2 linked regions of the Saccharomyces cerevisiae S288C genome follow. Changing the gene in region 2 together with the main gene of any one other region gives a genetic interaction. Each region holds a gene or a part of one and is shown on either strand. Other genes may lie near its edges.

What was found.
Region 1: mutations in FIT2 (region 2) and KRE28 together harm fitness more than expected from each alone (negative genetic interaction), as found in Saccharomyces cerevisiae (one large-scale study listed by BioGRID).

The regions. Positions count from the first base shown.
Region 1 is NC_001136.10:1,498,896-1,502,502, forward strand, and holds KRE28 (Kre28p), read right to left. Parts: upstream 1,659-3,607; coding exon 501-1,658; downstream 1-500. Other genes in the region: CAB1 (pantothenate kinase), read left to right, coding at 1-440; HSP31 (glutathione-independent methylglyoxalase), read right to left, coding at 2,552-3,265.
Region 2 is NC_001147.6:1,057,911-1,060,546, reverse strand, and holds FIT2 (Fit2p), read right to left. Parts: upstream 1,017-2,636; coding exon 555-1,016; downstream 1-554. Other genes in the region: FIT3 (Fit3p), read left to right, coding at 1-106; YOR381W-A (uncharacterized protein), read right to left, coding at 1,957-2,124. UniProt on the Saccharomyces cerevisiae protein: Involved in the uptake of non-siderophore and siderophore sources of iron. Has a role in the retention of iron in the cell wall and periplasmic space.

The DNA.
Region 1 (3,607 bases), on a different chromosome or scaffold from region 2:
CAGACTATAATAAAATTGGTCTAAAGTCGTCAGCTATTGCAAGTTCATTTGGTAAAGTTTTCCAAAATAGAATGACATCTAACAAATCTTTGGAAAACAACGAAAATAAATTATATTCCTCACATGAGTCTATTGAGAAAAACAATGGACAAATGTTTAAGAATCCTGATATTTGTAAAAGTCTTCTATTCGCCATCTCCAACAATATTGGGCAAATAGCTTATTTGCAAGCTAAAATCAATAATATACAGAATATATACTTTGGCGGATCTTATACCAGAGGACATTTGACTACCATGAACACTTTGAGCTACGCTATTAATTTTTGGTCACAAGGATCAAAGCAAGCGTTTTTTCTCAAACATGAAGGCTATTTGGGTGCAATGGGTGCTTTCCTAAGCGCGTCTCGTCATTCATCTACTAAGAAAACAAGTACGTAGATAGATTTCACTTTTTTTTTGGCTAGTAATATTACATACATCTTTATCTAGATAATTAATTTATTCGTTTGTTAGCTCGCTTATAATGTCATCCATTACCTCAAAGATTTGCACCTTAGTATTATTTCTGTACTTATTGTTAAATTTACTGCTCGCTTCAATGTCTGTGACTATATTGCCACCCGCTTTTTGTAAAATAGTAATGTCTTTTATCATTGGCCTTTTTAAATCGCTTAAAGATATGGCAATTATATATTGCATATCCTTTATTTCAAATTGTACTTTTCCAAGCTGGGTAAAGATTTCAAAATTTAATATAGTCGTCTTTGACCCTTTGAGTAAAAAGTGCTTTTCCCAAAATTTTGTTAGCAAATTAATTGACTGACATAATTCTGATTCATTGGCCATTAAATGTCCAGAATCCTCTTTTTTTGATTGCTCTCCTTTTCGTATTATTTGATTTTTAACTTCATGCATTTCCTTGAGCTCTTTCGTTAACCTTTGATTTTGCTTCTGCAAAAATAGTAGTTTTTGCCAATTCGTGTATGTCTCTTCCACAAAATCATCTGAATCACTTGAATTTAATATCGTATCTTTTTCTCCCATCATATTCTTATCTTCTTTGTTTGTTAAATTTTTTAGTTCATTGAGCGAATCCCAACAATTTTCAATATCACCAGTGGCTTCCAGATACAACTCATTTATTAAATCTTGCCTTTCTGCAAAGTTGTGACCGGTCTCTTGGATTTCAGCTTTGATTTGTTCTATTTTGCTTTCTTGAACATTCGAAATTTCTTCCTTTAAATCATTAACTCTTTCATTAAGTTTTACAAATTGGGGGTCTTTTTCGGAATCTAACTGCAAAGGTTTCGTCGAGGACAAAGTAAACCTGAAGAAATAGTCCAATGTCTCCTGTTCCAAGTAAGTCAACTTAAGTAACTCCATTAGTTTATTGAACTCCTTGATTTTTGCACTCAGAATTTTTGGATTTACAAAGACCTCCTTTCCCTCTACGTCTAAGCTCTCATCGTTCCTAAGAGGATTCACAAACTTGTTCTCTTCATTTATTGCCAGAATGCTGGAAGTAATTTCGTGCAATGTATTTTTGAGCCTTAGTTCTTGGTTATTTAGCACTTCTTCGCTGCTCACAGCAATAGAATCCTCAATATCCGTTAACACGGTCTCATAGTCCTTTATGCTCGCACTCCCTGTATCCATTTCTTCACTAATTTTGTTTTAAAGCTAGTCTATATGTTTTTTTCTATTGGTTGAAGTTTTTTTGATGCTGCTCATTCTCCTTGTGTTTATAAATAATGAGTTACGCGATCTTCACTTTTTTTACATGTGCTTATATTTAACTGCCTAGTTCCCAAGCGATGGCATTAAAGACAGCCAAATGCTAATTTCTGGTTGAATAACCTAATACGTATGCCCTAAATTATTTTTCCTTTTTAATCTGGAAGATATTGTTTATCCGGATGATATAACGTTCAATTTAATTGATGGGCATTACTAAATATTTTCAATATGACCAATTCGTGTCGACATTCTGCCATAATTAACCTGAGAAAAAAACATTTTTCGTGATCATTTAGCAAGAAACCGCAAGGAACAGCTCACTAAGATGCAAATAACCATTAGATAACTGAAACACACCTACAATGTCCCACATGAATAAACCCTTTAGGAAGCATCGGCAGCTGACAGAAATACCAAAATGAAAAAAAAAAAATTTAGAAAGTTTTATGTATAGTTTTACATATTGCATAGATGATTTGCAGCGTAACGACGCTAATGCTTTCTTCTCCATTCTCATTGATATTAACGTTGGCTAGATAAATGCTGTGCAACGGAGTGGCTGAAAAATAAATTGTAGCACCTTGTTGGAGACCAAATGTAGTCTTCACTATTAACCTCTAGCTAAAGCAGATAAAAGATAAAGATTATAAACTTTGGTTATTGGAAGACCCATCTCAGACATGTGTTTCCCCAATATCCAAATATTTCAACGTATTAACAATGAGGTACATCCCTCGTACTCAATAACGCCTCCTAAAGTTCCTTACATCTATATAGTAGTACAAAGGAAATTCTAATTATCAACCTTTGGCTCAGTTTTTTAAAGCGTCGATGGATCTTACGGCAGTGGAGTGCGCAGAAGCAGGATTCACACCTGTTACCAGTCTTCCGTCAGTAATAGAGTAATCATCCCAGGGCCCAACCGGAGCTAAATACTTAGCGCCATATTTTTTAGCAACATCTTCAACGGTTGCCAAATTCTTGGCTTTCAAAATACTATCAACACCCAAAATGGTTTCACCAACATCAGTAAAACCGGTGATAGATTTACCTTCGATCAATGGTCTTCCTGTTTTTTTGTCTGTTAACCCATCAAAAATAGCAGGACCGTGACAAACAGCTGCGACAACACCACCGTTAGCATAAATTTCGGAAGCAATGTCCTGCAAGTCTTTAGCCTTAGGATAGTCAAATAAGGTACCGTGGCCTGCAGATGCAAAAAAAATTTGGTAATCATCGGCATTCACCTCTTTTGGTGTCTTAATTTTAGCCAATGTCTTGTTGAAATCTGAGTCTTTATTTTTAAAATCCGTTTCGTCTTGACCATTTAGAAAATCTTTGGCTAAGGAATGCTCATCCCAACCAAATTTTCCGGTTTCAGATACAAAATCGACTTCAAAACCTTCTTTTCGGAATGTGTTGAAGGGATGTAAGGCTTCTACAACAAAAACACCGGTCTTGGCGCCGTCACTGTAGAATACATCGTTATATGAGGTAAGAGCGAGTAAAACTTTTTTTGGGGCCATTATAAATTTGTTTGAGTTTTATCTGTGTAATTAGCCAGTGGGAAGTACTTAAAAATGCCGTTAATAAAATTTAGCGGATGATAAAGAAATGAATGGTTCTCCTTATGGCTGTTTATATATCTGATTTAAAGGGTAACGGAAACCGGAAGCAATAATGGAACCGTGAAGCCATCCCTTGAAAAAATTTTCCATTTCTTTCATGAAGACTATGTACATGCCCCTTATGCCAAGCTTTTTGATTTTCAGGCTAGGAATGAGTAACGTTAATTCTCTGTATACATTCGCCCAGATTTCTTTACGGGATTTATGGATCCGTCAGAACAAAAAGCCGCCTCCCATGGA
Region 2 (2,636 bases):
ATCCTCTAGCACCGCTGAATTATCTAGTTACACCGGTGCTGCTGATGCCATCACCGCTGGTACTGGTTTGATGGGTGCTGCCCTTGCTGCCGTCATGTTATTGTAAATGATATGTGAATAATCATGCGGGATATCCGATTTTTATGAAGCACCTTGCGGCTTGGCCTTTTTTCGAAGTTATGTTAGAATAAAAAAATTTTAATAACACACATTAAGTATGTATGTATATATACTGTTTCAAGTTCGTTGGTCTTCCTTTAATTGTTTGAAACGGTTAAAAGTATCTAATTAAAATAAATATACCCGAAATCATACTAAAAAAATAGTTAATATTAATAAAAGTAATGATAATAATAATAATAACAATAATAATAATACGATGATGATGATGAAACGAAAAACTGCTACATTGAAGTCACTGAGAAACGTAATGAAAAAAAGTCCTTTTTACTAGCCTTTTGAAGGAGAAAGACAATTATATTAGCTTTTCATAGATAAGTTATAAATATGCTATACACGATAACTAATAGCTTTTTTCTGGTTTGAAACCGAGCTTATAATAGGTAAGAAATCAAACCAAGGGCCAATGCACCGACACTTGCTCCTTGGAATGCAGCAGGAGCAGCACCAGAAGAAGAGGCAGAAGAGGAGGAGGAGGATGAGGAGGATGAGGAGGATGTAGATGATTCGACGGCTTGAGTGACGGTCTTGGTGTAAAGGTTGGTTGATGAACCTGAACCGTTTGTCAAAGTAAGTGTCTTTGTTGTACTCTTTTCAGAGGTGGTATCTGGTCCTTCGGTGACAACCTTTGTGTAAGTAGCATCACTATTACTGACAACGACAGTTCTAGTGGTACTGTAACTAATGATAGGGTCAGCGGTGTCGGTAACGACCTTAGTGTAAACGTTATTACCGTTAGTAGCAGTAATAGTCTTAGTGGTCATTACACTCGACACAGCTGCTGCCGAGACGGCAGTCATAACTGTAGTAGCTCCGAAAATAGTTGAGAATTTCATTATTATTGTTTTGTGATGGCTTTATGATAGACTTTTTTACAAGGACCGTAAAATTCTGCCTGAAGCACGCACACATTCCTGTTTTATACATATATTGCTAGGTAATATAAAATGCTAATTATACTGCACCCAGTTAGATTCGTATACATCTTATCCGAACTCGATTACAAATTATACAAGTGATCCAATTGGGTGAACCTCGAAACAGTTCTCTGTTCAAGGGTCCGCTGCGGGGCGAGGGGGGGTGCATTTGAACTTAGGGTGCATTGTTTTAAATCCTATACAGGATATGAACTTAGTTAGTTCAATGATCGCTTGATAAATTGCACCCTGCTCTTGAGGGTCATTCTAAGTAATGAAATTTTGGGTGTTTTTGTTTGCCGTCCTCGTTCAATTCGCTTCCGCCGTTCTGGAAGCCCCGTTAACTTCCGTTCCCGCATTCCGATCGCTGTAGGGCTTGGCGTCAGTAGCACCCAGATATTTCACTGTAGGAGCTTACTTCACTCATTTCAATTGGTATACAGAAATCTATGAAATGTAGTTAAAGGCATCACTAATCCGCATCCGCGATACCCGCAACATATACGGAATGTCTATGTAAAAATGTCTCCTGTGACTTTCATTAATCGAATCTTTCTATAAAAAAAAAAATGAGCAAATCACAGTACACCCACTACTCGCATCATCAACGTTGAGTCAGTAGCAAAGTCTCCAGTTATGGTGCCCTCTGGTCCAATTGTAGTAAATTCGTTTGCACGGATGAAAAATAGCTCATGAATGTTCTTGTGTATTTGAATACCATTATGTGCGCGGCTCATACGGATTTAAGTGTGATCTTCCCCTCCGTATTCCCTGTCAATAACTCAAAGTTTTCCCATTTCGGTTTGAAGTTCTTCACAAGGGAGTTTCTTGGCGCAAAGGCATGATGATCGCATTTGCCTCAGTATATTTCGTCATTTCGGTACTGAGAAACGAAATTATTTTGCCTGTTGTCTTGCGTTTTGGCAACCCTTAAGAATTCATCTAATATGTTGGTCCTTAAAGATAAGCGCTTTTGCTTGTAAAATTCTGATTTTTTGTCTTGTGATGGTAATGCTACATTGAACATCAATGCGTATCTGATTTTAAAAAAAAAATTAGAAGTGTGTATAAAATGAAGGTATTATCAGTTGAGCAAATATTACATGTGCTCTTCAAAAGTACCTGCTTTTCATTTAGTGACTATCAGGATGATAACGCCGCTCGTCTTATTTTTAACTGTCGTTTTCTGATAAATGTGTTGAAAACGTGCTAAACAACAATTACCTGTTCTCAAGAGCCTTGAGCCTGGATTGAGAGCAAAAAATCTCTCTTTCATTTTATACAGAATTCGGAAAGAAGATGGATATTTCATGAAAATCTGTTGGTAAAAAGTGGATAAAAATTTTGTATTATTAGTATGTTCTTAGTGGTTAGGTGATAACGAAGCGAGAAAAGCAGGGCAAATGGAATAGAATAGCGTGTAGTTGTTAAAATTTTATTTCACTGAGGCTTATATGCTTACTGAGAAATTTTTTTTTTTTACAAAAAACTTCTTTTTATGTTATACCAGCTGTGGATTACCACAACAATTGGAAAGAA